Linked DNA regions of Callithrix jacchus. The protein of the gene in region 1 purifies or fractionates together with the protein of each later gene. This does not show direct contact. Links are inferred from orthologs where the notes say so. Each region holds a gene or a part of one and is shown in the gene's direction. Other genes may lie near its edges.

The links.
Region 2: the proteins of CTTNBP2NL (region 1) and PPP2CA purify together in Homo sapiens (affinity purification with mass spectrometry; 4 studies listed by BioGRID and IntAct, with this or other methods). This does not show direct contact. The link is inferred for Callithrix jacchus from reciprocal best matches to the Homo sapiens genes CTTNBP2NL and PPP2CA.
Region 3: the proteins of CTTNBP2NL (region 1) and STRN3 purify together in Homo sapiens (affinity purification with mass spectrometry; 4 studies listed by BioGRID and IntAct, with this or other methods). This does not show direct contact. The link is inferred for Callithrix jacchus from reciprocal best matches to the Homo sapiens genes CTTNBP2NL and STRN3.
Region 4: the proteins of CTTNBP2NL (region 1) and STK26 purify together in Homo sapiens (affinity purification with mass spectrometry; 4 studies listed by BioGRID and IntAct, with this or other methods). This does not show direct contact. The link is inferred for Callithrix jacchus from reciprocal best matches to the Homo sapiens genes CTTNBP2NL and STK26.
Region 5: the proteins of CTTNBP2NL (region 1) and STK24 purify together in Homo sapiens (affinity purification with mass spectrometry; 3 studies listed by BioGRID and IntAct, with this or other methods). This does not show direct contact. The link is inferred for Callithrix jacchus from reciprocal best matches to the Homo sapiens genes CTTNBP2NL and STK24.
Region 6: the proteins of CTTNBP2NL (region 1) and PPP2R1A purify together in Homo sapiens (affinity purification with mass spectrometry; 6 studies listed by BioGRID and IntAct, with this or other methods). This does not show direct contact. The link is inferred for Callithrix jacchus from reciprocal best matches to the Homo sapiens genes CTTNBP2NL and PPP2R1A.

What each region holds. Positions count from the first base shown.
Region 1 is NC_133508.1:150,417,289-150,421,759, forward strand, and holds part of CTTNBP2NL (CTTNBP2 N-terminal-like protein), read left to right. Parts: intron 1-1,082; coding exon 1,083-1,190; intron 1,191-2,288; coding exon 2,289-3,770; 3' UTR 3,771-4,471. UniProt on the Homo sapiens protein: Regulates lamellipodial actin dynamics in a CTTN-dependent manner. Associates with core striatin-interacting phosphatase and kinase (STRIPAK) complex to form CTTNBP2NL-STRIPAK complexes.
Region 2 is NC_133503.1:74,130,876-74,135,504, forward strand, and holds part of PPP2CA (serine/threonine-protein phosphatase 2A catalytic subunit alpha isoform), read left to right. Parts: intron 1-557; coding exon 558-731; intron 732-1,881; coding exon 1,882-1,971; intron 1,972-2,458; coding exon 2,459-2,620; intron 2,621-4,100; coding exon 4,101-4,219; intron 4,220-4,629. UniProt on the Homo sapiens protein: Catalytic subunit of protein phosphatase 2A (PP2A), a serine/threonine phosphatase involved in the regulation of a wide variety of enzymes, signal transduction pathways, and cellular events.
Region 3 is NC_133509.1:65,427,691-65,432,853, reverse strand, and holds the start of STRN3 (striatin-3), read left to right. Parts: upstream 1-2,059; 5' UTR 2,060-2,253; coding exon 2,254-2,535; intron 2,536-2,664; exon of another isoform or gene 2,665-2,911; intron 2,912-3,366; exon of another isoform or gene 3,367-3,422; intron 3,423-3,572; exon of another isoform or gene 3,573-3,652; intron 3,653-5,163. UniProt on the Homo sapiens protein: Calmodulin-binding scaffolding protein which is the center of the striatin-interacting phosphatase and kinase (STRIPAK) complexes.
Region 4 is NC_133524.1:127,582,180-127,587,414, forward strand, and holds the start of STK26 (serine/threonine-protein kinase 26), read left to right. Parts: upstream 1-1,769; 5' UTR 1,770-1,875; intron 1,876-1,974; 5' UTR 1,975-2,083; coding exon 2,084-2,125; intron 2,126-5,235. UniProt on the Homo sapiens protein: Serine/threonine-protein kinase that acts as a mediator of cell growth. Modulates apoptosis. In association with STK24 negatively regulates Golgi reorientation in polarized cell migration upon RHO activation.
Region 5 is NC_133502.1:14,261,292-14,266,633, reverse strand, and holds the start of STK24 (serine/threonine-protein kinase 24), read left to right. Parts: upstream 1-1,952; 5' UTR 1,953-1,967; coding exon 1,968-2,426; intron 2,427-3,734; exon of another isoform or gene 3,735-3,749; coding exon of another isoform or gene 3,750-3,752; intron 3,753-5,342. UniProt on the Homo sapiens protein: Serine/threonine-protein kinase that acts on both serine and threonine residues and promotes apoptosis in response to stress stimuli and caspase activation.
Region 6 is NC_133523.1:45,574,973-45,580,250, forward strand, and holds the start of PPP2R1A (serine/threonine-protein phosphatase 2A 65 kDa regulatory subunit A alpha isoform), read left to right. Parts: upstream 1-1,652; 5' UTR 1,653-1,726; coding exon 1,727-1,804; intron 1,805-5,278. UniProt on the Homo sapiens protein: The PR65 subunit of protein phosphatase 2A serves as a scaffolding molecule to coordinate the assembly of the catalytic subunit and a variable regulatory B subunit.

The sequences.
Region 1 (4,471 bases):
ACAGTGCCCTACCCTGGAAGTCTGGGCCAAGGCACCTCTGAAGCATGAGCAGAAACTACTAAGAATTCCATTGCCATATTCCAGTCCGAATATTTGCAGTTGTAGCTGGGATTATGTGAAAAATATCCCTTTAAATTTGTGTTCTCAGCCATGTGTGATGGCTCACACCTGTAATCCCAGCATTTTGGGAGGCTGAGGTCACTTGAACCCAAGAGTTCGAGACTAGTCTGGGCAAGATGGCAAAACCCCATCTGTACAAAAAATACTAAAATTAGCTGGGCATGGTGGCACACACCTATATTCCCAACTACTCAGCAGGCTGAGAGGTGGGAGAATCGCTTGAGCTGGGAGGCCAAGGCAACAGTGAGCCATGATTGCACAACTGCATTCCGGCCTGGACAACAGGGCAAGACCCTGTCTCCAAAAATAAATTCTTCTCCTTAAAATTGGGCTTAATCCTTTGGCACCAGGAGAAGTGGAATAGGGGTAGGCAGGTTAAATAAAAGACCTTGTGAAAAATCTCCATTTAAGATCTGTATAATCGAACCTTTTCACATGCAGGATGAGCTCAAGAGAGTTTTCACCTCTTATCTAAGTATATGAAAACTTTTTTATTAGTGAAACAAGGCACACTTAGAATGCACCTTTTTGAAATGTTGAATTTCAGGCTCCTCCTTTGGTGCCTCCAGTGATTTCAGCATTGAGAGGAAACTGTCAGCTTTCAGGTTGCTGTGGTCCTGTCTTGCTCCATCACCTACACCTGACCCCCTAGTAACGCCAAACTGCCTGCAGTTTCTTGGAACTGCCTCAACCCCTCTCGCTCTTAGTTGCTCTCTTCTGTTTGCATAGAATTCTTTACATACTTCAAGTAAAGTAAATATCTTACTGTTTTCTAACAGCTTTCACGGCTGTCACTGTAAGGCAGTGTGCCCCTTGGTAGCGCTTGCTGGGTTCCATTTGTTTCTTTGTTTGTTTCATCTCTGGAACTATCATTAAGGGCCTAGTTTGGCGCTTAGTATTGGCTGTAATAATAAATGCAACTCGTTGATATTTGGAAATGAATTTTTAAAAATTCTTTAAAGGTGATCCTAGACCTTGAGGAAGAAAGGCAGAGGCATGCACAGGATACGGCCGAAGGAGATGATGTCACCTACATGCTAGAGAAGGAAAGAGAGAGGCTGACTCAACAGGTAATTCAGGTAGAGGGATTCACAGTCGCATTTGTCTAGAACAGTGTTTCCAAAAAGTTACTCTGCAGGAAAGCAATTGTTGTTGTTCGAAAGGGGGCTTCGTGGTCAAATAAGTTTGGGAACTACTGGAATGAACAAAGTTAGACAGGATTCTAACTTTAAATCTGTCAGGCTCTTTAGTATGCAGAAGCACACTGTGAGCCTTCAAGAACAAAGTAGGGGTTCTGTGTTTAGCAAATCTGTGGTTTTACAAAATCTTTTATTGATAGAGATCCCTCCCTGTGGGACTATTGTTGGTAGAACACACATTGGGGAATGGTAAAAGTTTGTAGCTCTCAAACTTTTCTTGATTTAGAACCCCCGTAAGGAATGACATTTTATGTCACAATCCAGTATAAACACACACAGTTATGCCTAAAACAAAATCTCATGAAATCATATATAACCCCTACTGTCTACGTATTGATGGTTTCTGTTTATTATTTTTTTTTAGTTCTAGTCACGGCTCACATAATTTGTTTCCCCATCCATTAGTGGATCTCAGAGTTTGAAAAACACTGAGTTTCTTCAACCCTTTCCCTTTCACCCAGAGTCTCTGCCTCAAATGGGGTTGGGAAGACAATTAAAACAGACGGTATTTGTGTAAAAAGTATGATCCAAACGCAACTATTTGAGTTTGTTTTTAAGACCTGAGAAAATTACTGCCGAAACCTTAAAAGGTTTGTTTTTAGCAGCAACATTCGTCACAAAATCTGGTTGATGCGGCTTTCCGTTATCTCGTTTTGATTGGTTCTGATGCTGTGTCCTCTCCGCATACACGAAACACAAAGGTACATCACAGCCCCACTAATCACTGCAAGACAGTATAGGAACTAGAAGTGCCTCACAAATCATCAGAGAAAGATTAAATCATAGCGTCTGCTTTTTTTGTGCTAGGTGTTCCAAAACCTCAGAAATACTTGATTTAAGCACTGTGACATGCACGTTAATCCTATATACCAGAGAACAGCTAACACAGACACTCCATTTGATCATACTTTTTGAGGATATCTCTCTTTTCTTATTCTAATCAATATATGTGGTGGCATTTTTTTCTAGCTGGAATTTGAAAAGTCCCAAGTGAAAAAGTTTGAAAAAGAACAGAAGAAGCTCTCTAGTCAGCTGGAAGAGGAGCGCTCCCGCCACAAGCAGCTCTCATCCATGCTTGTGCTTGAGTGCAAGAAAGCCACCAGCAAGGCAGCTGAGGAAGGGCAGAAGGCAGGAGAGCTGAGCCTGAAACTGGAGAAGGAGAAGAGCCGAGTGAGTAAACTGGAAGAAGAGTTGGCAGCTGAGAGAAAGCGAGGTTTGCAGACTGAGGCCCAGGTAGAGAAGCAGTTGTCAGAGTTTGACATTGAAAGGGAACAACTGAGAGCAAAACTGAACCGAGAAGAGAACCGGACCAAAACGCTGAAAGAAGAAATGGAAAGTTTGAAGAAGATGGTGAAGGACCTAGAGGCCACCCACCAGCACAGTAGCCCTAATGAGCAATTGAAGAAACCAGTAACCGTGTCCAAAGGCACAGCAACTGAGCCTCTCGTGCTAATGTCTGTGTTTTGCCAAACAGAGAGTTTTCCAGCAGAAAGAACCCATGGAAGCAGCGTAGCCAAGATAACAAACACTGGGCTGCCTGGTCCCACCTCTCCTGCCTTCTCATATGCAAAAACCAATGGCCATTTTGACCCAGAGATACAAACTACCAGGGAGCTGACTGCAGGCAACAGTGTGGAAAACCAAGTGCCTCCACGGGAAAAATCTGTGGCATTGGCCCAAGAGAAACCAGTGGAGAATGGTGGGTGTCCTGTGGGGATTGAGATGCCAGCCCCAGTGCCCAGCCCCCTCCCTTCCAGTGGGAGCTCCCTGTCTCCCAGCAGCACTGCCTCCTCCTCTTTAACCTCCTCTCCTTGTTCTTCGCCGGTACTCACTAAGCGTTTATTGGGGTCATCAGCTAGCAGCCCTGGCTACCAGTCCTCCTACCAAGTAGGCATCAACCAGCGGTTCCATGCAGCTCGGCACAAATTTCAGTCCCAAGCAGATCAGGACCAACAAGCCAGTGGCCTACAAAGCCCTCCGTCCAGGGATTTATCCCCCACCCTCATAGACAACTCTGCCGCCAAGCAGCTGGCCCGAAACACAGTCACTCAGGTGCTCTCCAGATTCACCAGCCAACAAGGGCCAATCAAGCCAGTGTCTCCCAACAGCTCTCCCTTTGGCACGGACTATCGAAATCTGGCCAACACTGCCAATCCAAGAGGTGACACAAGCCATTCACCTACTCCAGGGAAAGTATCCAGTCCCCTGAGCCCCCTATCTCCAGGAATCAAGTCCCCAACCATCCCCAGAGCTGAGAGAGGAAACCCTCCACCCATCCCACCCAAAAAACCTGGCCTCACTTCTTCTTCATCTGCTACCACTCCTTTGACCAAAACTCATTCCCAGGCATCCTCTCTGACCACCACAGAAGACCTTGCCAGCAGCTGCTCTTCCAGTACCGTTGTAGCAAATGGTAAGGACGTTGAGTTACTCTTGCCTACCAGCAGCTAGTCCCTAGGAGGGAATCTCCACGTTTGACATTCCATCAGATTTCGTCCAGGAGCCCAGACTTTGGAGTCAGATTATGTTATTTATTTTGATAGTAGCTGAAACCATCTGTATAATACATTTGGCATATTTCACCGTTTTGTATTTTTTTTAAGTAGAAACTGAGTAGTTTGGATTTGTATGGCTCACATCTTTTTACTGAAGCTAGAAAGGCACCTCAAAGATGTCTCAAGCTCAGCAGTCACCGTCATGTTGTGATGAAGAAAGCTAACTGAGTACCAGGTAGTCATTTGCGATCCGTTTTGGAACTAGAATCACTCAGCGCTCATTTCGAATTATGCAGAAGTGGTTCATGCAGATTTTTATTCCAGATGAACATGTTTTAAAAGTGCCTGAAATATGACTGCCATAGGAATGTGAATCTGCAGCAAAAACACAAAATGGATCATTTAATTGCAGGAAATGAGATCCTCTGTGAATTCTGAATGTTAAAAACCAACACTGCTTTTAATCCTCTTTTACTGTTTTAATACAAGCTTTGTGTTCTGAAACAAGGCTGCGTAACTAGAACGGGAATCCTTCTAAAGGTGGGTGTGAACTCACCACAAAGCTGAGCTTTATAGAGCCCTTGAGAAACCCTCCTGAGCACTAAGCAGTTAGGGTGCTGATTTTCTTGTACTTTTGAAAAATTCACTCACTCCTAG
Region 2 (4,629 bases), on another chromosome or scaffold:
GAACAAACCACTAATCTATGCTACAACATAGCCTCAAAAATATTTTAAGTGGTATTTATCCAAAAGATACAAAAGACTACATTTTGTATTCCATTTATATGACATTTCTAGAAAAGACAGACTAAGACAGAAAGTAAATCAGTGGTTGCCAGGAGCTAGAGTGGGAGTGGAGAGTGACTGCAGACAGGCAGGAGGGATCTTTTCAGGATAATGGAAAGGTTTTAAAACTGGATTGTGGTGATTGTTGCGTAACCATAAATTTTGGAAAAATTATTGAACTGTAAAGTAATTTATGTGTGGGGTTTTATATTCCATTGATTATGCTTGGTATAAAGTTGGTGATAGAGGGAGTTTGATTTTAGTTGAGATGAGGTGAGCAAACACCCCATGGGGATTTAAAAACTTTGTAGAGCTGTGGTTTTGGTTCAGTATGATAGAGGTTGTGTGCTGGTTCTTCAACAAAATTGTAATTCTAGATTTTTTTCTATAGAAAGTTTCCTGGATTGTCATTGGTTCTTGAAAGCTAGTTGATTATGTTTTCCATTTTGTTGTTTTAGGTTCGTTACCGTGAACGCATCACCATTCTTCGAGGGAATCATGAGAGCAGACAGATCACACAAGTTTATGGTTTCTATGATGAATGTTTAAGAAAATACGGAAATGCAAATGTTTGGAAATATTTTACAGATCTTTTTGACTATCTTCCTCTCACTGCCTTGGTGGATGGGCAGGTATGTGGATCTTAAAACTCCTTGCTGGTTATTTCAGACTCTGCTTTCTTTAATGTTGAGGTGCTCATGACCCTTTCCACTCTTTCTTTCTCTCCTTCCTTCCTTCCTTCCTTCCTTCCTTCCTTCCTTCCTTCCTTCCTTCCTTCCCTTCCTCCCTCCCTCCCTCCCTCCCTCCCTCCCTCCCTCCCTCCCTCCTCTCTCACCCAGGCTGAAGTGCAGTGGTACACACTCTGCTCACTGCAACCTCCACCTCCCTGGGTTGAAGCAATTCTCTGCCTCAGCCTCCTGAGTAGCTGGGATTCCAGGTCCCCGGCTAATTTCTTTGTATTTTTTTTAGTAGAGACAGCATTTCATCATCTTGGCCAGACTGGTCTTGAACTCCTGACCTTGTAATCCACCTGCCTTGGTCTCTCAAAGTGCTGAGATTACAGGTGTGAGCCACTGTACCCAGCTGACTCCACTCTTACACCACTTTGGGAATATAGTTTAGTAGAAATTGATAACATTCATTCAAACTTTAAAAAAATTTTAATCTGACAAATAATTGTGTCCGGTTTTTTAAGTGCATTATTATTTATATCAGGCACTGAACTATATGGTGGGATCACAGAGGTGGATGGTGTAACCCGTATATCCTCTCAGACTGTTTTTGGACAAGCCTGGGAGATGTAAGGAGCTAATTATTGGTTTAGGTAGATGTGTACACAAAAGAACTTACAAGAAAATTTTTTGAGTGTGAAGACGTTAGTGTCTGGCAGGGAGTAGGAGTAATATCCAAGAAGTTTTCTCAAAGGAGCTGTTAAAGGTGGAGTCTGGGTGTGACAGCAATGGTCTGTTAGGAAGAATGGGAGTGTACTCAGTAGTTCAGAGTGGGCTGGAGCAAAGATGTACCCTGCAGAGTCAACCCTCATTCAGGCAGAGCTCAGAAACACCAGTGGGGCCCAGTGATGGGGGCACCCAGCTCAGTTTTTTAAAATTTTATAGAGACACAGGGTCTTGCTGTGTTGCCCAGGCTGGTCTCAAACTCTGGGCCTCAAGCAGTCCTCCTCCCTCAGCTTCCGAAAGGGTTGCAGGCATGAGCCACTGTGCCCAGCCAAGAATGTTTACCAATTTTTTAGGTGAGGTTAACATTTTAAACCACTCGTTTCAGATATTCTGTCTACATGGTGGTCTCTCGCCATCTATAGATACACTGGATCATATCAGAGCACTTGATCGCCTACAAGAAGTTCCACATGAGGTATGACTTTTATTTGATAATACGTTTTCTGAAAAGATTTTAGGGAGTGGAGAAGTTTAATTGTAAGTTAGTTCATTATATGTATTCTCTCATTTAATTCTCAAAAACAACTTGAGGTGTGAGCATTCTTTCTGCCCTGTTCAGAAGAAGCTGACATTAAGAAATCTGCCAAGATCACAATAGCTATGGAGCTTGGTTTATTAGGACCTAGGTTGTCTGTTTCATAGCTCTGAAATTTGCATAATATAGGCAGATTAATAGGGCATGTTGCTGTTGGGTCCCATGGATGTCAGCTGTGTCTCATAAAGACTGCTAGAAAATACATCTTATTTGATGCAGATGTGTGACTTCAGTTGTACAATCTATTAGCATTTTCCACAAACATCACTCAAAAAGGGTGACTTAGGTGCTGCTTCTGTTAAATTACTCAAATACTGTGTTAACCATGTTTGTTAAAGGCAGTTTATAACTTGAAGTTACTTTTTAGGGTCCAATGTGTGACTTGCTGTGGTCAGATCCAGATGACCGTGGTGGTTGGGGTATATCTCCTCGGGGAGCTGGTTACACCTTTGGACAAGATATATCTGAGACATTTAATCATGCCAATGGCCTCACGTTGGTGTCTAGAGCTCACCAGCTAGTGATGGAGGTATGCTCTGTTCTTTGAAATACGACTTGCTTCTTAGTAAACTTAAGGAAAGATATTAGGGAATTTTAAATTAATGACTTGTGAGAAATTCCATTTATTCCTTCTGATGAGTTTGCCGTTACAGCCTGAGCCTTTTCAGTAGATGGCACACAAGAATTAAAAGCTCAAGCTTTTGATTACAATTAATTAACCATTAACATGTTTTCAGAGAATTCTGAATGGAAGTGCTTTGGGATTTAAGAGTGGGAAAGTAAGATGTAGGGAGTTGGAGTGTGTGTATAATATTTTATTATCCCACTGTTTATTCCATATATTTAACATGTATGTGTGTAGGAGAGACTGGAAAGAAATACACTAAAATGTTTTAAATGGTCCTTTGGTTAGTAGGATTACAGGTGATTGGAAAGAGACTAGTGTTCCTTTTTTTTTTTTTTGAGATGGAGTCTAGCTCTTTTGCCAGGCTATAGTTCAGTGGCGCCATCTCGGCTCACTGCAACCTCCACCTCCCAGGTTCAAGCAATTCTCCTGCCTCAGCCTCCCAAGTAGCTGGGATTACAGGCATGTACTGCCATGCCTAGCTAATCTGTGTATTTTTAGTAGAGACGGGGTTTCACCTTACTGGCCAGGATGGTCTCGATCTCCTGACCTTGTGATCCACCAACCTTGGCCTCCCAAAGTGCTGGGATTACAGGCGGGAGCCACCGTGCCTGACCAAGGCTAAGGTTCTTGACATGGCACACTGATGAGCATATTTTAAAAAATAAAGTCCTAATTAGTTTAATACTAGTATAACTCTGTGGGTATTGATAAAATCTGACTTTGCTAAAGATAAATTTGTGAACAGTACTAAACAAAAAGTAACAGAAGTAGCTCGTACATTCAGATGGATGGACTTTGAGGAAGCAAGGCTGGAAAGACTAGAGGCATGTCTCATTTGTTCCTGGGCAGTGAACCACACACTAATAGGCCTTTACCTATGACAAGAAAATTAGTGAGGTTATGGTCTCCAGGATTAGGTGTCTACCTCTCTAGGGAATGGCCACATAAATACTTATTCTTAAATCAGGTTTTAAGGCCACTGCAGTAGAAGAGGCTAATGAGACACTACCATTTTCAGCAAGTCAGATGCATAAGAAGCAGTTTATTCTTCGGTGGTTGGTGTTGTTTGTTAAAGGCTTTTTTTTTTTTCCTTTTTAGTACTAAAAAACTGAGTTTTATAATTAGGGGAAAAACAAATACATGTGTGTCTTACAGGTTGTATAAAAAGGGTTATTTACAGATTGTATAAGGGATATTTACAGGTTGTATGAAAAGGGATTATTATTACCGCAAATTCATAAGTCATCCAGAAAAAAAGCATTAATGTTTCTTAAGCCTCTTTGGCAGGGGTGGGAATGAGTAGAGATTTTCCCTTGAGTGAAGTAACATTTAGTTGTAAATAAGGGAGTAAAGTAAGATATTTATCTCATTTTCCTTGTAGGGATATAACTGGTGCCATGACCGGAATGTAGTAACGATTTTCAGTGCTCCAAACTATTGTTATCGTTGTGGTAACCAAGCTGCAATCATGGAACTTGATGATACTCTAAAATACTCTTTGTAAGTACTTCTACCTGCCTGAACAGTTGATTGAATTGGTAAATATGTAGGTTTTTATTTTGTTTATTTTTTGAGAGAGGGTGTCACTGTATTTACCCAGTCTTGTCTTGAACCCCTAGGCAGAAGTGATCCTTTCACTTTGGCCTCCCAGAGTGTTGGGATTACAAGTGTAAGCCACGGTGCCCAGCTTGAATACATAGTTCTAAATGGGATGTTTAAAGTTTAAGTGATTGTGCTATGCTAGATTCCAACTTTTATTTTTAAGGTTTGTTTTTCTTTTTAATGGACTTACATTGAAACACACCAACAGGAACTTACTATGTATAGAACCTAGTATAAATGACTAGGTTTTTCACTTTTGAAATCATGTTTTCATAAAAGCATAGTTTCTCTGACTGAAGTTGCTTGAC
Region 3 (5,163 bases), on another chromosome or scaffold:
CCCCTAAAAAGGAATTGGATGAACAGGCTGTATGTTGGTAACTATAAGATAAATAGTAATTTGATAATTTGGAGAAATTGTAATCTTAGCACTTTGGGAAGCCAAGGCAGGTTGATTACTTGAGCCCAGGAGTTGGAGACTAGCCTGGGCATCATGACAAAACCCTGTCTCTACAAAAAAATACAAAAATTAGCTGGGTGTGGTGATGTGTGCCTGTAGTCCAAGCTACTCAGGAGGCTAAAGTGGGAGGACCACCTGAGCTGGGGAGGTTGCAGTGAGCAGAGATTACACTGCTGCAGTCCAGCCCAGGCAACAGAGTGAGACCCTGTTTCAAAAAATAAATAATAATTTGGAGAAACAGTCCTTAACATTAGAGTACTGTGATCTAAGACCTCGTTTCATATATAAGTAAAACATGGCAGCACGAATAACAAGTCTAATCTGCTTTCCATTAAACTGTAATAACAGTATAGCAGACATGATAAAATAAGATGCATTACTTTATCTCTTTGAAATTGGTTGGTAGTGTATACTCCATAGCACAACTTCTACTGGCTTTTGAGTAAAGAAAATTTTTTTTTAAATGCAACAGATTTTAAATGCCATTTCCCTGCATAGCTATTAATATAATTACTGAACCTAATTTCCTTATGTTGTTATTTTTGTCTTATTTTTCAACCAAGTGCTTCTCACCTATATCAATTTTTAGAAACATACTAGTACATTAGGATATTTTCTAAGAAACTAAGCACATAAAAATACCCACTATGGTATTTAAAATATTAGTCTTGTCTTTCATGTGTATATTAAAACTTTTTCTTTGACACGGAGTCTCACTTTGTCTCCCAGGCTGGAGTGCAGTGGTGTGATCTTGGCTCACTGCAACCTCCGTCTCCTGAGCTCCAGCAACTCTCATGCTTCAGTCTCCCTAGGAGCTGGGACTACAAGCGTGCACCACCATGCCTGGCTAATTTTTGTATTTTTAGTAGAGATGGGGTTTCACAATGTTGGCCAAGCTGGTCTCGAAACCCTGGCCTACAGTGATGGCCCACCTCAGCCTCCCAAAGCGCTGGGATTACAGGTGTGCCCGGCCATATTCACTTAAACATTTAACGACCCAGGATAACATCCACCTAGGATTTTAAGTTGTATACACAATGCTTTTATTTTGTTTCGATCAAAATAGTCTATTCATGACAATATTTATGAGCCCATTCACTTCTAAGATAACAAATTGTTAGTCTAGCCAGTCTCCTTCAAACTTGTTTTCTCCTTCTACCCACCATCGTCAAGATGTAAAGGAATTTAAAAATCGCTCCTCCTCTCCCAACCCCCCGAAACACACCCATTCCAGGAAAAGAAAGAAGAGGGGACGCAAAGTGGAATAAGTTATGGCCAGAGACCGAGCGCACAAAAATGGGACCAAAGCCCAGGCTCGAGACCGAGACGAGGAATCGGTCACCACAGCCGGAAGATCTCGGCTATTTGCCAGAAGAGAACTGACTGGTGCTAAGAAACCAGACAGAGGGAGTGACAGGAGAAGAAAGAGGGCCCACCTTTGGGACTGCCTGAACACTCAAAGAATGAAAAAGGAGAAACGTCAGGAATCCGAGACAGGCTGCAGTCCACCAGAGCGACCAGCCAGGTTAATACCCAGCTCCGAAGGCCAGCACTCGGGTGAGACCCTCGGGAAAGAAACGGCGCCTGGAGATCGCCTGCTTGAAGGAAACTGATAACCAGGAAGCCTAGGACCGCTTCGCTTCCAAGTCAGAATCCCAGCCTCGCGTCCGGTAGCCGTCGCCAGACACCGAACAGGGTCTGTGGGCGGGCTTAGGGGCGGAGCCCGAGCTCCTTCCCCGCCCCCTAGCGGCGACTCCGGTTGCGTTCTCAATGCGCCGGCGTAGGGTGAGCCGGACTCTATTTGGCGATTAAGCGTGCGGCGGCGTTCGCTACCCGGCATGCTGTGCGCTAGTGACGGCCCTCTGCCTATCCCCTTCCCAACCCTACCCCCACCCCTACCTCCGCGGCCCCCCCTTCCCCTAAAGTGAGTGAGACGGGCAGATGGAGGAGGGACTGTAATGGCGGCGGCCGGCAGCTCCCTGCTCTAACCCACAGCAGGCACACAGCAACGACCCCTTCCCCGCCCCTCTCCTGGCCGGCCTCCGCCCCGCCGCTAGCGCGGGGCCACGCTTTCCAGCCCTTCCCCCAGCTGTCGGCGTCTCGCCCTGCGCCCCGGCCGGGGCCCCACACACAATGGACGAGCTTGCCGGAGGCGGTGGTGGCGGCCCCGGGATGGCGGCCCCTCCCCGGCAGCAGCAGGGACCTGGGGGGAACCTGGGCCTTTCGCCAGGGGGGAACGGAGCGGCGGGCGGCGGGGGTCCTCCGGCCTCCGAAGGAACGGGTCCCGCGGCAGGCCCCGAGCTGTCCCGGCCGCAGCAGTACACTATCCCGGGGATACTGCACTACATTCAGCACGAGTGGGCTCGGTTCGAGATGGAGCGGGCGCACTGGGAGGTGGAACGGGCCGAACTGCAGGTACCTCGTTGGGGTCGGTGTGCGGGACGGCTGCGGCGGCGGGGTTCCTAGCCGGGGCGGGGGTGGGGGGGTGGGGCCGGTACTCCTCTCAGCCGGAGCCGGCACCTCGGGAGGCCGAGCGAAACCTACCTGTGCTGCTCGGGGTGTGATAGTCTTCTCAACGACTTTCTTGGAGTTCTCCTCCCTCTTTTCCCGCAGAAGCTTGCTCCCCAACGTTCACTAGCTACGCGGTGCGGCCCTCCTCGGGGCAGCCATTTTGGCTTTTAGTATGGCGTCTGCGGGGGCTCCTCCGCAGGCGGCCTTCCCGGGCCTCCAGGGCTTGAGTCTGGGTTGGGGCCGCTCGACACTGAGTTTGCTCTTGTTTGTTCCTCTTGAGGTGAGGAACCCAACGAGAGGGACTGGAATAGGCATCTTACCCCCTTTTTCCGGACCACCCCCTTTTCCGATTTGGCATATCTGGCCCCCTCCCTCAGACTTGGTACGCACTTGCCCCTTGACAGCTACTCTTCTGTCCTGGGCGGCTACGGTGCACAGTGAGTTGCGACTGCCCTGTGAAGTTTTATTTCCCATCGTCAACTTTAAGTACTTCTTACCTGAGATGCTGCCTTACTCACTTGGATTCTCTGTAGTTATTCCTTTCTTAGTGACTCATCAACGGTTTTAGCACTGAATTTTTCTTTTTAGAGTACTCTTCACTAGACCTCCTTTCCCCATCCCTTTCTTTATCCATAAAAAAAAAACCACACCAGACTGACTATGCTGTATTTATGAAACGACTGAAAAGATTTAATAGAAGTTTGAAGTGAAACGTAGTTGTATCATATTACTTACTCGTGCAGGAGAAGCAAAGTGAGATGTCCTCCCGACCCTTCATAGTTGAGCTTGACTCGTTCCTTATAATGTGAACCTTTGATAGGCTACACGTTTGGAAGATGTTGGTAGTTAACGGCTCATGTCCCGGATCTCAAAATTGCCGCATCTTTTTGAAAGGATTAACTTTCTTGGGTATTTGTGTTTATTTTTAAATACCTTTGCAGGGCAAATTTAGGCTTAGAAGAAGAAAGCATACGTCTAAATAGTGTTGCATCTGTTCTTCAGACTGTTGTATATTCAGGAGGTAAGCGGTATTTGCTGTCATATATGTCATATGCCTATGGTGAATAGTTAGGCAAATGTAGTGTTGAAAGGAAGAGGACTGGATTAACTAGAAAGGGTGTCCTCAAACAAATATGAATCTCTTTAGTTTGGTGCTGAACTAGTAAACTTTTATATGACTCCACAAAATGGGTGAAGTTAAACTTTTGGAAAGTAAAAAATATTTAGATATTTTGACACTGTATGAAGTCTTAAAAAATTGTAACATTTGTTAGTCATTTCAGTGTTTTACAATTGTGTTTTGATATAATATTGTGCTTTAAAAATACATAACTTTCAAAAAGCTGAAGTCAAAGCTGTGGTTTCTTTTAAGTTGTGTAGTCTGCTTTAAATACTTAAGATTTATAGAATTTTGTTGGTATACAGCTTTCTACTACATCATGCTGCAAACTTAATTTTCTGTGTGAGTAAAGTTAGTAACGCATTTATTTTTAAAATTTGCATTAACAAATGCATTAAGGCTTAGGCTCACTAAATAATACTTCACCATTCCCCACTTTGGTTTCTTCCACCTTTTTACTATTGTATGCAAGTTTGGATTTTAACACTCTTCAAGTCAGCAATTTCATTTTTCACCTATAAACTTCACTAATGTAAGCAGCTGAGAAGAAAGATAGCTTGTGTCCAAATTAGTAAAACCTGTTCATTAATGAAGCCTTTATTGCCTTGAGCATTTTCTTTCCCTTCTAGGTCTCCTCTCCTTTACAGCAACAGAAGAGTGTTTTAAGGACGAGTCCTCTTGCTTGCTTGCTCTCAGTTCTACTCTTGGTATAGTAGTTCTGATATAGCCATCCTAAGTTATTGTTTCCTTGTTTTGAAAAAATCCTGCAGTGTTTCTAGACTCTTTATTACATACTGATTCTTTTGTAATAAAATGCTCATGATGGTGTTGGTGTTTTTTTTGTGCTATATATTTATAATGTTTTATTGAGTTACTTAGTTAATAGAGTTTCTAGTTTGCATCAGGATATTGAATTTGCATTAGGTGCCTTCAGTCTACTGAGATTGCTTGTGAGGTGCATATTTTAAAATGTATGTGTTGAATACAAATTTGTGGGAGGGTTGTAGTGAAGCATCAGTGGATTTTTACTGTAAACTTAAATTTATTTTTAAGAAAGACAACCTAGAAATAAGACAACTTACATATTATTATGTACAGTCTATGGTGCACTGTCAATCTACACATATTTTTAAAGTGTTAATTATTGAATAGTTTCAATAGTGAACATAAAGAGCTTAAGGAGTACCTCATATTGATGTAAAATTTTAGTAGGGAATTATATTTTCCCCGGCTTTGAAAAAGATATTAAAAGGAACTTTGCAGTATGATTCTGTTCTCTGTAAAAAGAATTTAGAGTAAAGCTCTGTCTTAGAAACTTGGAACTAAACCAAAGGATCATGTCTTAAAGCTCTTTTGTCTCTGATTCTTCCTTACCTTGGACTTAGGTAAAGCATTGTTAGTATGGTTGTAGG
Region 4 (5,235 bases), on another chromosome or scaffold:
GGGCTTGGAGCAACTAGGAAGAGTCAATGGAGGTGAGACTTGAGACAGGTTTTAAATGATGAAGTTTGATTCAGATCCTTGCAACTCAAAAGTGTGATGTAGGCATCATGACCATGTGAGAGCTTGTTAGCATTGCAGAATCTTGGGCCCACTCCAGACTTGCAAGATCAAAATCTGTGCTTTTGAGGGATCAAAAGAACCCTCGGATTTCTAGGGTTCTTAGAAGTTTAGGTGGCGCTGCAGGTTTCTGGTCAGGCTGGCAATGCTGTGAGCTGGGTTGGTGGGAAATCAAGACTAGATTGGAGCCTACCATTAGGTTAGAAATAGTGAAAGGCTGGACTGGGGGAACTAGGAGTGAGGAAAATGCAGTTGTACCCTTTATCATTAAAAACAAAGAGGAACCACAGAGAAAGTAGTAAATTTATCACCAGGCAGAGGCACCTGCGTCTGAATTCCCAGCTGCACCACTTCTTGTGTGACATTTGGGTCAAATTATTTAACCTGGTTGAGCCTTTTTCTTCATCTGTAAAGTAGGGGGAAATCAATAAGACCGCAGAAGGCCCTTGTAAAGGTTCAGTAAGGTATTAATAACACACAGAAAGCACTTAGCAGTCTCTGGCACAAAGAAGATGACATCCATTAATGATAACGATATTGATAAGAATCATATATTATTCTCTGAAAAAGATGTAAAAGGAAGAAGAGAAACTACTATTTACCACTAGAGGCCCCCCACCGTGTGGTGGTTAGAGACCCAAAACAAACTTCAAAGTAAAGAACTTCATTTTAAACTGGCATTCGACTATTACGTTTTTAAAAAGTAATTAACCCCTTATGTGTTCCCAAAGGTGCCTTCATAATGAAATTCCTGTTGCTATTATTACCAGTGTTACTGTCGCTGTTAGAGTACTCTCAAAAGAGCCTGTCTCCCTCCCGCAGTGGAACTTAAAATGCGGCGGAGGCAGGGAGTTACCAAAATCGCTGCTGTGTATGCCGAATTCAACAACCTGTACTGCTGACGATCCAATCTCATTTCCCAAGCCTCTACTATCCTCATTAACTTTTCTGCTGATATAACATCTGCTTTCCATTTTCCCTCTGCCTTTACACGTGCAGAACTTGTGGTAGAGAGAAGCCCCAGTTTGGCCGTCCTGCAAGTGATAGCCAAAGAGGTAGGGGGAACCTTAGGTTAGAAGTCATCTGAACCATGTCTGGGGTCGGGGAACTCGTAAAGCTTGAGTGTGGCTACTGGTCTGCCCAGAGGAGCAGCCCCCAGCTGAGGAGGCCAGATGGCGGGAAAAAGCGGGGGCCGCCGACTCCGCGGCTGTGATCCCGCCCTAGGCCAGGCCGGGGAGCCAAGAAAGACTTCCAACACTCCCAAGTTTCAACTCAAGTCGTCTCCGAGGGTGCGTGTGCCCCAGCCTCGCACGCCCGCCTGCAACAAGGTCGCATCTAGGACGCCCTCATACCCTCAGGGTTTCCCAAACTCTTCCATTCTCTTCCCAGGCCCAGCCGTGTTCCAGGTCTCCCGTTCGCCGGGTTCTCCTCACCCCATGCCGGGAGAGTCTCCAGCTTCTCAGACTCCAGCAACCCCAGCCAAACCCCTTCGCTGCCTGGAGCCTTGGCTCCCGCGACACCGCCCGGCTGCGGGGCGGGGGCAGGGCCAACGGCGGAACCGCCCCCAGCCGCCTCCCGGGCCAGGCAAGCAGGCGGGTGGCTGGGACGCCTCCACCTCCTCTTCCTAAAGCGGCGAGGCGCAGAGGAGCGGCATCACTCGAGCCCAGGTCCCAGCCACCACCACTCACAGCGCTCGGCGTTCAGGAAGAGGAGCAGCAGCGGAGGCGGCTGCTTCAGTGGCGGGCGGGCGCCAGAAAGGTAGACTGAGTCCCAGGGAGCCCCGCCGCGAACAACCCACCTCCCAGCCCGGGCTACGCGCCTCCAGCCCAGTAACCCCACTTCTGTGTGTCCTTCCAGGCCCCTAACGACAAGCCTGGGAGGGCCGCCGAACTACCCCTGGAGGAGGAGCCAGTCCGAACTCAAGGCGCTACCGCCGCAGAAGCGGAGCGAGGCTACAGTCGCCTCCATGGCCCACTCACCAGTGGCTGTCCAAGTGCCTGGGATGCAGGTGAGGAAGCGCAGGCCGCCCCCCGCCGCCCACGTGACTGCTTGGGAGCCCGGAGCGCTCTCGGTGCTGGGCACCGACGACAAGGGACGGCCCCGGGACTCCCCTGAGGGCTGGGCCGGTCACTCTGGCCAGGTGACCTGGGAGTAGGGCTTGAGGTGTTTCCTGGTGTGTAGGCTAGGTGGTGCTCTTCGCTGGGAAGGCGAGGCGGGACTGGAGCGCGCAACTAGGTGGGGATTGAGGGCGGCTGTGGGGTATAAAAATAGGCCAGAGCCACAGACACCTGCGCCTGTGGAGCTTGGCACGGTTGGGGATGGGAGGGGGGGAGAACTTAACCTGCGAGACATGAAAGTGCCTTGGAAGTTGTGGGGTAAAACGCGAGTAGTGAGTGCCCTACAACCCCCACCCCAAACACGCACTCAAGCTGGGGCGGGGCAAGACCAGGGGTGTCGGCGGCAGCTTGAATTGGGCTCTTCCTGTGTGCGTAGGGCTGAGAGAGAGAGGTGACCTCTTTCTCCCTTTCGGTACTGCTGCTTAAGGGCAAAGTTGTATCTGGCTCCCCGACCTGGCCCAGCCCATAGCGTGGAGCGAGAAATGTTGGTCCTGTTCAGAGTCGCTGAAGTGATGAGTTCCCAGCCCCCCTCCGTGCCTTTCCCACGAGATGACTTACATGTGGTTAAAGTAAGCATATTGTCCTGGACAAGGGACTACTGCATGGGACCCAACTTCTTACTCAAAGTCTACCCAGCCCAACCCCCTCCCATTATATTTTCATTTTATTAAAGGTAAGCCATGTTGGAAAACTTCTCATGCTGTTATGTTTTTAAATCGGTGCACTTTAGGCTATCTGCTAAATGTTATCCAAATCTACCAACTTTTTAAAGTATTCACTTTTTTTCCCTTTGCTAGATAGCCCAAACAACCCATTTATGAATAGTTTAGAGGCTAAAAACAAGAAAGCCTCAGTCTCTCATGATCTAAAAATGTGAAAACAAACTTTTTTCAAGTTCAGAAATAAAATGTTTAGAGTAGCAAATAGCTTATATTTACTGTAGACTTGGGCCTCAATTTACTTATTAGCAGTGTTCTCATTTTATGCATGCCCACAAAAGTGATTTTAAAATTATTTCCCAGAAAGGGATCATTTGTGCACCTAGAACTCCTGGTGTGTCCTAAACATCAGACATTTCAGCTGCATTTAGGGCAAGTCTGGGTTGAGTCTCAGGAAGTTAGTGTATATTAAAGAGAGAGAAAGGGAAATAGGAAATAGTAGGGCTTAAGAAAAAAAAAAGATTAATCCATTCAAGCCTTGCAAAATGTCTCAGACTTTCTTCCTCTCAGGCGGCCTCCCCTCTCTTCCCCCCCCTTTTCCCCACACACCCTGTCCCACACCCCATTCATTCAGTTCTGCCTTTGATTGTATCAAGGGAATTCATAGTTTGCAATACTAAGTACAGTTTTGCCGTCGGATCTGGGAAAAAGTGACATTTTCCCACCGTGCTCTTCTTTCCGTTCTATGGAGAGTGGAACGATGCACACGTGAAGTTTGTCTCTGAGGGTCTCCATGCTTCTCGCTCCATTGTGTGCGTGAGCCTGCGTGTGTGCGTCAGCAGAGTGAGTGCCTCCCGTTCTCAAGTTTGTGATTCTGGGGAACTCTGTGTGCTAAGGAGAAAATAGTTTCCGATCTTTACTTTATTTGTCTTGACCTTATTGAATTTATATGGTTTAGGAACTGCTTACTGTTCAGTATTTCTAAGTGCTGTTCCCTGCTTTGTTTAAAGATCTGAGTTGCCTATCTCTTGAATATTTACATCTTAATTAATGTGGATTCGAATGTGAATCACATACTTTAAATTACAAACTCTGCCTTTCACTGCTGTCTGAATTCTGATTACTTTGTCCCATCTAATCTGAGTAGGGCAAACATCTCAATGTTAGCAGAGAAGAGAGGAATTATTATTATTTTTATTTTTTGGTCATTCTCTTCATCTTAATGAAATGGTAAATTCTTCTTATTTCCATTTTCTTTCTAAATGTACTTCTTAAGCACTTTGTGCAACACATAGTTTTTTCCATAGTTGAAATTGTACAATACCCTAATAATAAATGTGAGAGCACGCAGTGTGACTCTTGAACCTAGACTATTTCTGTTATTGTTATATAGCAAAATATTGCGGATGAGATGCAGAAATTCGTTGCAAGCTTGTAAAATGCTCCTAGAGTTTTATGAAAGCCTTAGGAGCAACTTTTAGATTTTTAGAAAACTTGAGTTAGCCATGTGTTCTTGAAATTACTGTATGGTGTTTCCACAAATCAGGGTGAGGTGACCGGCCAGCCTATAACTTTTTAACAGTTTATTTTAGAGAATTATGAAGATTGATGGGAAAAACGATTTTTCCAGAAATAAAAACAAAATTATCCACAATTTTTTTCTCCCTCTGAGGAGAGACGTGAAGCTACCTGTTCTATCACTTAAGACTTCCAGCATTCCTGACTTTCAAACAAAGAAATTTCTGTTGCCACTAGTTTAAAATAGAAAAGAAACTTGGAGTGAAGAAAGAAAACCCAGGATTTGGTCCAGTTCAAACTCTTCCTTATGAATTAGGTATTCAAACTCATATTGTTGATATTTCTTAATATTGTGGTAATGAACATTTTTGCCATATTACACCAAATGTTGAGGGTACTTATTTTGTGCTTGCTTCTTTAGTGTGTAACTAAAGGAATTTTCCATACCAGTAGCTGAACCCTTGAAAATATTGAAAGTACAACTTAAAAAAAAATAAGCCAATAAACCTTTTCTTTCAACTTAAATATGTACTCTTTCATGATTTGAAGAGTTTTGAACCTGTTTTCTTTGAAGTTTTCAGTTATAAATTATACTTAGTTTTAAGATATTTCCCCTTAGAACCTACAATAGTATTTTTGAGGACAAATTTTCATTTAGAATATTGTTAATAAATCTTTCATAAGATGTAGGTGGAAGAATAAAGTTAAATGTTGAATTAGAGTATTGAATGTTATGCTTTATGCTATGTCTCTTGTTAAAGAAGTTTTAAAGCTTCTGCTAAAGAACTTTAAAATTAGCCTTCACATATCTTTAAATATGAGCA
Region 5 (5,342 bases), on another chromosome or scaffold:
GGTTCTTGACACCTCATTGGAAATTAAAAATGGGAATTTGACTCTCCGTGATAGGGGCTGCCCGACCTGCATTTGTGAGATTGGAGCTAAGGCCTGTTGTGGGTGATGTCTGGAGGATGAACTAGCCTACTTATCTCTGGGCTGGTTGACTGTGAGACCAGGTGGAAGGATACGCAGCCCATCTGGTGGTGAGTGAGGCCACTTGTGGCCAGGGCACTGAAGGAAGTCACTGTTCACCATATTCGTGGTGAAATCTGGTCTCCTTCTGGCATAGATTCAGCTTTTGACAGGTCTGGGGATTTCATCACCATTTTTTTTTTTTTAAAGCAAAATTATAAAAAAGGCTTTTAAAGTGAATTGCTCAAGTGTGTGTTTTTGTAAGAGTTGGTAGAAGGCTTTTGAAACTAAGGGCTTTCTCAGACGGGCCAGGCCATTTGAGATCTGCCTGAATGCTTACCAGATCTGGTGGCATAACACTGCCTTCAGGAGAAGGGGCTACGCTTTGTGCCTGCGGCCCTTTTGCAGTTGTCCCTTGTGAACAGGGGTTGGGGGACAATGTGGGGGCACTAGGCATCAGGAGGACCCCAGCACCCTGCCCAGCCTTTGCCACAGCGGTCATCTGTGCGCTGTCTTTTAAACAGAACAGTTTTATTTATCGGAAGTTATTCCTGCTCTCTTACCCTTCATCAGTGAAACCCAGAATGACAAGGACTTTAAGACTGGTGGCGCATGCCTGTAGTCCCAGCTACTGAGGAGGCTGAGGCAGGAGAATTGCTTGAACCCAGGAGGCGGAGGTTGCGGTGAGCCGAGATTGCGCCATTGCACTCCAGCCTGGGTAACAAGAGTGAAACTCCACCTCAAAAAAAAAAAAAAAGAAAGAAAAAGACTGGTGTTGAATTGTATTCAGATCTTAAGCAATTTCTGTGACCTCCCAATTTCTTTAAACTTTCATGTTTCTTTTTTTAGCTTAAAAAAAAAATGAGTTAACATTTTTTCTTGAATGCTTTCTCTTTTTTTTATATTTTCATTTTGTTGGTTTTCCTTATGGAAAGAATTGTTTACAAGTCATGCGGTAATTACGGTATTTGGTGTAATGTAATGCAGGATGTTTCATCTAATATAGAAAGACATTTGCTGCTTTTTAGCTTCTTTATTATTATCCGTATTGATTTAGGGTAATGGATTTGAGTTGTCTAATCACTGACTTTGAGCAGCCGGGAATAAGCTTAAAATCATCTTCCTGAAGCCAAGTCTGGCATTTTTTGATCTGCACATGTGTACATTAGAAATTGCGATGTTGGAGCTCTGCTTTTCCCACAGTGTGCATCTGTGAGACAGGCTCATTGTTAGCAACAGGGACAGTGCAGAAAACACAGATAAGAGAAAAACGTACTGTTAGCATTTCAGTGTACATCATTCCACCTTTTTCTTTGGATGTGTAAATAAGTAACCCTGTCCCCCAACCAAAAGGGGACCAATTCCTGTAATTTTACATTGATGTTTACCTAGGGAGTTTGCAGCTTTAAAAAAATTTTTGGAAAATTTTGATGGACCTATGAATCTTTCCACTTGTCTTATTATTTCTCTAGTAGAAACTGACCGGAAGGGGGGTTTTGCCTTTTACTTATTTTCATTTTCTGATCACTTTTACATCTTTTTAGTGCTTCTACTCTTAGGTAATACAGTTTTCTTTATGTCATTGTTTTCTACTTTTTGCTGCTTTTAATATGAGGTTTATTAGTGATTTTTATTACCTTCATCTCTAGCTGTGTTAATGCTTTTTGGAGATTTTAAAAAAAGGATTATCTGGATTGTCTGTAATTTCTTTGAGTTGAGAGCAGTATTTTTCTGAAATGTTTCCCCTCTCCCTTGGGAATTTGGAAATATTTTCCTTTTGTTTTCTTTTTTACCACTGCCTTTCCTCCACTCGTCAGCGTGGATTCCTTTGGCTTAGGAGGGGACCTGCCATGGGCCGGGCGTGGGGTGAGCGCGGAGGGGCGGGAGCACTGCCTCCTGGGGCAGGTGGCTCTGTCCTCTTCTTTCTCTCCAGCCTGCCCTGCCTTCTGCCTGTGGGCTGTGCCAGCGCCTGCTCTTCTCCGAGGGATGAGATACTCCAGGGGCCTGTGCCACTCCCGGTGGCACCCTCGCATGCTCCCCAGGTGAGGGGTGAGGGCCCAGTTGCCTGGGGCCCACAGCGAAAAGCTGGCCTCTCTACTAGGAAGCCTTCCTGGTTAGGGAAGTGGAGATGCCCTCGTGGACCAGGCCTGCTGGGTGCCTCTGGATCTGCAATTGGGTTCCCACAGGAATGGTACCTGCCATCTCAGCCCCACGTGCCAAGAAAAGGACCTCAGTTTCCCAGCCGCCTGCCCCCTTGCAGGCCTAGGGTCCTGATGTGTTCTCAGTTCTCCCCTCAGCCTGGAGCAGAGGTCAGTGCCTGGCTATGTTACCTGTGGGTTCCGGTTCCGGTAGTTCCTACATTTATTGCAGATGGACTTTTCTTCTCACGCTCCTTCGTTTATTAACGTCAGTGTGGGCCAGAGCAGCCTAACATAATGCGCCTTTCATTTGATGGCTTTTACTGGAAGCCTCTTCATAGCTATTTTTAAACCTGGTGTCCACTAACGTGACTCCAAATTACAGCCAGGATTCTCATACTTGCCAATTTACATTGTGTGGTGTTCTTATGAAGCCTAAGATCAAAAAAGACCCAGAAGTGAAATCAAGTTTCTTTTGTATAGTATGTGGCTTACGCATGTGTTTGACTGAGTCTGCTGGGTACGGAGTCGTGGACGGCAGCTTCTGGTAGCAATCATTCAATTGAAGCCATTGATGACCCACACTGCATCTGCAGGCTGGTAGCTCCTGTCTCACAGTTCGGGGGTGTCCTGCATCCTGTCGTAGTTCTCCGCCATCCTTGGGGGCCAGTTGGGAGTAGAGGGCTTCCGGGCCACACTGTGGGGTCTCCTGTTGCTGCCTCCCCTGCATTCTCTGTCTCTATGCAGCGATAAGATGGCGTCTTCGGGTCTACACCCACCCTTGCCTCACCTGCTGCTTCTCAGCTGCTGTCAGTGGAGCCCAGCTGTTGGACCTTTCGTAGCCTGTGCCTTTATCACGCACCAGAATGTCCTGAGATCAGGACTGAGGCTCCCTGTGAGAGGTGCGGTTTGGGTGGGCCGGGAATTTGGGGCAGCTGTGTTTGTGCTTGGAGGCCTTTTTTTATTTTTGCTTGGTGCTTCTGGAGGATTGAGATTTCTCAGATCTGAGCACAGAATCAAAGTTGAGTTGTGCTTGAATCATTGAGAGAGCTAGAGTTAAGTAAATGTATGCAGACTTCCTGTTGGGTCCAGCTGGGGAGCGCATTTGTTGCATTTGGTTTGCCCTTCAAGTGTTTAGTTATCTTTTTTTTTTTTTTTTTGCTGGGGGTGGGAACAACTCCGTAGGGCACTTGGGTAGATAGGATTTTACCGAAGCTGTGAACTTTGGAGGATGGCATCACTGGTCTTCTCCTCCCAGCTGGAGCACAGCCTCAGCCTCTCTCCTGTGCCCCGGCCTTTGCAGGCACCTCTAGGCCCCGGGGGCTCCCGCACTTGGCCGGCTGCTGTTTTCTGCTACAAGGAGGGGTGAGTCTGAGACTTTGTACTCTGTCCCATTGTCTCCACAAATCTACCTGTTCCTGTCAGGCCGTGCGTTCTGGTGTTGAGTTTGGAAATGATGGGATCTGGATTTCAGCTGACCTCTTGCAGACATACATGGTGAGTGTTGGTACTTGGACGTGTAGATAGAAAAAGTAGGGTAAAAGACAAACTCATAAAAAGTAGAGTCCACCGTTAGCCTTTTAGGGGCTGTGGTCTGTTTTACTTCCCATCGCTTTCACTCCAGGAACAAGGGACTAATAGGGAAAGGAACCTAGGAGCCGGAAACTGAGCATTTATTAGGCGCAGCCCTGTGATGTTAAGGCGTCTGTTAATCTGAAGTGCGTGAACTACCTTATAGGTCTGGGAAGCCATTCATATTTATATGCTAGTTTCCTGAAAAACAGAAAGGGCTGCATGAGTATTTGGGGTTACTGTGTTATCACTTGAGTTGACTCCTGAGTTTTTGAGGCTGGCCCTGTTCTGGTTACCCCCATCAGTAAAAGGCAGGGCTGGGAGGAAGTCGGAACCAACCAACTGGAGAGAGAGAGAGGGGGAGAGAGGGAGGGGGAGGGAGAGAGGGGGAGGGGGGAGAGAGAGAGTGTGTTTGTGTGTGTGTGTGTGTGTGTGTGTGTGTGTGTGTGTATATATACGCGAACGGAGGATGAATGTATTGTTTTTCCCTTAACAGACAAGAGAGTTGGCTAGAACGGTCCCCACTCAGCAATATTTATTTAGGTTTGCACACCTTCCAAAATGTTACTTATTTAAGTCCCATTTACAATACTTAAAAATGGCTGGCATACCAGTCAGTGCTGGGGTCGGTGGAGTGTGGTGCCAAGAAAATATTAAATCATGAGAGCTGATTACCATGCCCAGAAAATAATGCAGTCTTGTGAATGACCTTTGTCTTCAAGCCAGGATAAGAAATGAGTTATAAACGGTCCGTGGTTAAAGTCCCAGTGGGTCCTTGGAGAACAGCAAGTGGAGATGGAACGAGCAGCCTTTGACTCACTTGTGTTCTGTGTCCTTTGATCTGTGCCAAGGAAGACATCATACTTAGCAAGGATTGCTTTGAAACGCACGGTTTTATTTTCTCAGCTAAATATCGTAGCAGCAGTAGTGGAGTAGGGAGTGGAAATGCATTGCTCACTCTATTCCACACTACCCAGAATTTATGTGCTATACCTGCTTCCCCCCAGGTTTCAGTAATACCAGTACCTGCTGTTTAGATGCAGATAAAACACTTCCTCAAGGTGAAGGGTAAAGAGTCATGGTTGGGGGCAAGGGCTGTTGAGACAGACTGGGTCAAATCTTTCCTGCAGTTCATCTAAGCTTTGTGTTGTGGTTTCTTTTTCTTTGAAGAGATGGGGATTACATGATTTAATTCTGTAGGGACAGTATCTGGTGTATTTACGACATTGGCAGCTTCTAGGTCAAAAATAAGAAATATCTCTTGAAAGAATTTAAAAATTCAGTATAAATTAGGTTAGGATTTATACTCCCGTTTTCTGGATCTGATGCTGACATCATGGTCTCTACTCTCTGCTCACAGCCACCCCACAGTTTTCATAATACTGCTATTAAGAAGACATAAGGAAAACACTTTTTCCTTTGAACATCCGAACAGAGACAAACTGCCCTTCTTAAATAGTTGGTTGGGATGCGGCTGAAAGTGTTGGGTTCTGATTTTGATCACCCTGAAGCTGT
Region 6 (5,278 bases), on another chromosome or scaffold:
GAGTTCGAGACCAACCATGGCCAACATGGTGAAACCCCATCTCTACTAAATATACAAAATTAGCCGGGCGTGGTGGCTCGTGCTTTTTGTAATCCCAACACTTTGGGAGTCCAAGGAGGAAGGATTGCTTGAAGCCACAAGGTCATAGCAAGATCCCTGTCACTGCAAAAAAGAAAATTTTACGATAAGTTTAGCTGGGCATGGTGGTACATCCCTGTAGTACTCAGGAGGCAGAGGCAAAAGGGTCTCAGCTACTCAGGAGGCTGAGGCAGGAGAATCGCTTGAACTTGGGATGCAGAGATTGCAGTGAGCTGAGATCGCGTCACTGCACTTCAGCCTGGGTGACAAGAACGAAACTCCATCTCAAAAAAAAAAAAAAAAGAAAAGAAAAGAAAGAAAGAAAAGGCCAGGTGTGGTGGCTCGCTTTAGAAGGCCAAGGCAGGCAGATCACCCTGAGGTCAGGAGTTTGAGGTCAGCCTAGCCCAAAGTGGTGAAAACCCCGTCTCTACTAAAAATACAAAATTTACCCAGCTACTCCGGAGGCTGAGGCAGCAGAATCACTTGAGCCAGGGAGGTAGAGGTTGCACTGTGCTGAGATCAGGCAACTGCACTGCAGCCTGGGCGACAGACTGAGACTCCATCTCAAAAAAAAAAAGAAAGAAAAAGATGCTGGGGGCATTCAGACCTGTCAGAGCGCTAGCTCAGTCCAGCCCTTCAAGCGTAGCAGAATGAAAGAGGAAAGAGCATCCCAGGCCTTCCCATCCCTCCAACTCCCTTAGTTACAGTGGTCCTAAGATTTCAGTGGGTGGGTTGGTGGGGGGGGGGCAATGTGTTTAGGGAGGTTAAAAACAGAGATTAGGCCTGGCTTGATGCCTCGCGCCTGTAATCTGGGTATTGGATACCAGCCGAGGGGTTTGGGTTTCATCCAAAGAGCAAGACAACTGAGCTCAACATAGACTCGGTTCTACAAAAATTTTCTGCAGGCTGAGGCCAGAGGGTCGTTTCAGACTGGGGAGGTCCAGGCGGCAATGAGCCGAGATCGCGCCACTGCACTCCAGCCTGGGCAACACAGCGAGACAATGTCTTTAAAAAAGCAAAAAAAAAAAAAAAAAGATAGAGAAAGAGAGAGAACAGGGCAAGTCACTCCCTTCTCTAGGCCTTGGCATAAAATAAATACAAAGTCTCATTCCGTTCTCCTCCCGCGCAAAGGCGCGGGGGGGGGGCCACTCCGCCAGCCAATGGAACCACGGCTTGATAACCCAAAACCTGCACACCCTACCGCTCCCCACATGACGTCATGTATTACCATCGACGCACGCGCAGAAGCCTCCGGGATTTACCGAAAGGCAGGCTTAGCCTCCTCCCCATCTCGCCCTTCATTGGCTACAAACAACTGCTCGTCTCGGTCGTTGTCAGCGGAGACGAGGGCGGGTACAATGTTGGTCGCTAGGACACCGCTAAGTTCCTCTTTCTCGCTCTCCTAGGCTCAAACTAGTCAAATCTCGTTCAATCGACCAATGGCAAATGGGAAATGGGCGGGACTTCACTAGTCTGGACCAAAGAAACGCGGGCTTAGCCCGGCGTAGCGCGGCCAATGACCATGGAGCAGCCCCTGTAAACTGGCTTGGGCGCCCCCACGCGCGCGTTTCCTCCTCCTCCTCCCAGCTCTGCCCCGGGTTTCAGCACAGCGCTGGCCGCAGTCTGACAGGAACGGGACGGAGCCAAGATGGCGGCGGCCGACGGCGACGACTCGTTGTACCCCATCGCGGTGCTCATAGACGAACTCCGCAACGAGGATGTTCAGGTCCGGAGGCTACGGGGGAGTTAGGGAAGTGGGGAGGGGGATCTTGGGACACCGGCAGCACTCGCGAAGACTCAGCGTTCGCTGGGAGTGGCGGAAGGAAGCGGCGGCCAATCAGTGTGCTTTTCTTACCTCCCCGGGTGCCCGGACTCATTGAGACGGCGCCCCCGATTGGGTGTCGACCCAGCGGAGGGCGGGGGCCAGCGCCAGCCTCGAGGGTCCCGGGCCTGCAGAGTGCGCGCGGTGGCCCTGGGTCCTGGGAGGCCGCGACCTGGGCTACGATCGGTGGGCTGGGTTGGGGAGAGGAGAGAGGAGGACTCCGTGATTGGCGGCGGCTTCCGAATGGTCCCTTGGGGATGTGGGGCGCGCGTGACTTGCTCCGAGTGGGGGAGGGCCGCCTGGTGGATCGGGACCTGGAGAGTTTTTTGTTTTTTTTTTCTTTTCTGGGTTTATACTCCTGGGCCAAGTGGGGACCGAGAGGCGAAAGCCTGCCATCGCAATTCCTGCTTTTCCTACGCTTCTCATTTTGGTGTAGGTGTCCTAAGAGGAGGGGGATGCAGAAACAGCGCCCCCCCCAAAAAGTGGGGACTAGCCAAATTTAGGGGCGAATTACATTGTAGAAAGCTGCCTCCCCACCCCCGGATCCTCCCATTGACCAGGATAGGGGGCGAAGGCTTTGCTAAGCCGATGAACATTTCTTCCTAATTTTTTTTTTTTTTCGATACCGAGCTCGCTGTGTCACCCAGGTGGGGGTGCAGAGGCGCGATCTCGGCTCAGTGCAGCCTCGCCTCCCGGGTTCAAGTCGTCCTCGCGCCTCAGCCCCCTAAGTAGCTGAGATTACCGCCGCGATCCACCACGCCCAACTAATTTTTGTATTCTTAGTAGAGATGGGATTTTGCTTTGCTAGCCAGGCTTGGTCTCAAACTCCTGACCTTAGGCGATCCACCCGCCTCGGCCTCCCAAAGTGCTAGGATTACAGGGGTGAGCCACCGCGCCCGGCCCGGGTGAACATTTCTGGTTATGGGATGAGGTGGCCCAAGGTGGTGTGGGATTGAAAACAGTTAGGACTTCAAGTTCACCTCCCACCCGCTGTGTGACCTTGTGCAAATTATTTCACCGCTCTGGGCCTCTGTCCCATAAAATGTGGGCTAATTGTAGCCCTCGTCTTGCTGGAGGGACTTGTTGAAGGGCTGAATGAATTATGACACAAAGTTGAGTGCTGTCAGGCCTGCCATAAGGGCCGGATAAATATTAGCTGCACTTATTGGGAGTGGTGATTAAAGAGGTCCCATCCTCCCTTTAGGCCTCAGTTTTCCCGTTTATAAAATTGAACAAGTGCACTGGGTAACCTACAAAACGTGGGTCCCATCCCTAGGTTCCTGGTATATCACTTTCTGGTGGCAGACAGACCGTGGTTGTACTCCTGGCCCTTCCACTTCTCACTGATTGACATGGACAAATTAGTTAATCTCTCTAGGCCTCTGTTTGCTCTTCTCTTGATTGGGGATAATTATGTAGTTCATAGGGCTGTTGTATTGAATTTTTTTTTTTTTTTTGAGATGGAGTCTCACTCTGTCGCCCAGGCTGGAATGCAGTGGCATGATCTTGGCTCACTGCAACCTCCGCCTCCCAGGTTCAAGCGATTCTCCTGCCTCAGCCTCCAGAGTAGCTGGGACTACAGGTGCATGTCACCACAGCTGGCTAATTTTTGTATTTTTAGTAGAGATGGGCTTTCACTATATTGGTGAGGCTGGTCTTAAACTCCTGACCTCATGATCCACCCGCCTCGGCCTCCCAAAGTGTTGGGATTACAGGCGTGAGCCACCGCGCCCGGCCGTATGAATTCTTTTGTTCAGTAAACACATGGCGTGTATCAGGTATGATGCTGGGGGTGTAGTGGAGACACCAGTTGCTCTACAGGATCTGCGTGTGAAACAGGCCAACAGAGCTGAATGAAAAGTGATGGGAAGGGAACAAACAGGATGTTGTGGTAGTGAATCCACATTGAATTGGGCGAGTGTTCTGTGCGGGGCACTGTTCTAGGCACTGGTATAGCAGGGAACGAGACAAAAAATCCCGCACTTGGGGAGTTTACCTTGTAGTGAGGAAAGACAGACAGTAAACGAAGAGTATACTGTATTACATGCGGATGAGTGTCAGGGAGAAAAGTAAGAGAGAGAGGAGATGCAGTTTTAAAGTGTAGTCTGGGGAGGCCTTGTTGAGATGATGTTTGAGAACACACCTGAAGGCAGAGGAAGCAGGATTACAAAGTTGGGTGGGGCAGATGCATTTTAAGTAGGCCATTCGGGCAACGCCCCTCTGAGGATGCAGAGTTTGAGAAGAGACTGAAAGAAGGTGGGGAGGAGCCTCCGAGGAAGAGGAAGCAGATGTGTAATGGCCCTTTTTTTTTTTTTTTTTTTTTTTTTCTGGCAGAGTCTCCCACTGTTGCCCAGGCTGGAGTGCAGTGATGCAGTCTTGGCACACTGCAGCCTCCACCTCCTGGGTTCAAGTGATTCTCCTGCCTCAGACTCCTGAGTAACTGGGCATGCGCCACCACCCCTGGCTAATTTTTTTTTCGTATTTTTAGAAGAGATGGGGTTTCTCCAGGTTGACCAGGCTGGTCTCAAACTACTGACCTCAGATGATCCGCCCATCTCGGCCTCCCACAGTGCTGGAATTATAGGCGTGAGCCACTGCACCTGGCCCGTTTCTTTTTTTTCTTTTTCAAGACAGGGTTTCACCATGTTGGTCAGGCTAGTCTCAAACTCCTGACCTCGTGATCTGCCCGCCTCAGCCTCCCAAAGTGTGGGGATTACAGGCATGAGCCACCGTGCCTGGCCTGTTTTTTGTTTTTTAACTCCAGGATTACTTCCTTCAACTGCCCGTCCTTCCTTCCTTTCATTCATCCATCCATTCACTAACCAGCAAACATTTGTAGGGGCTTGTCTTTGTGCCAGGATCAGAGCTAGGCAGCTTACCAGTTTATTCTAAAGGATATTACAAAGGATACAGATGAAGACACGTAGGGCGAGGTATGGGGTGAGATGTGTGGAGCTGCCATGCCCTCCCCTGGGCATTCCACCCTCCAGGAACCACCAGGTGTTCATCTGTCCAGAAGCTCCTATGGCTACTTTTGTGCTACAGCACAGACTTGCATAGTTGTAGCAGAGATGGTCTGGCGCTCAGAACTTAAAATATTTGCTCTGTAGCCCTTTGCAGAGAAAAAATTGCCAACCTCTGACCTAAACCATCTGCATAACACATGATTGGGTGCTTGCTCTATGCTAGGTACAGTACAGAGGAGTGAATAACACTGACGATCTTACTAGATTGTCAGTTACTCTTTGAAGTAGGTCCTGTCCTTGTCCACATTTTCCAGATGAGGAAACTAAAGCACTATAAATAACTTGGTCAAAGCTATGCAGCTGAGAAGTGGAGGAGCCAGGAAAGAATACCACAGGAAGTAGGACCTGACCT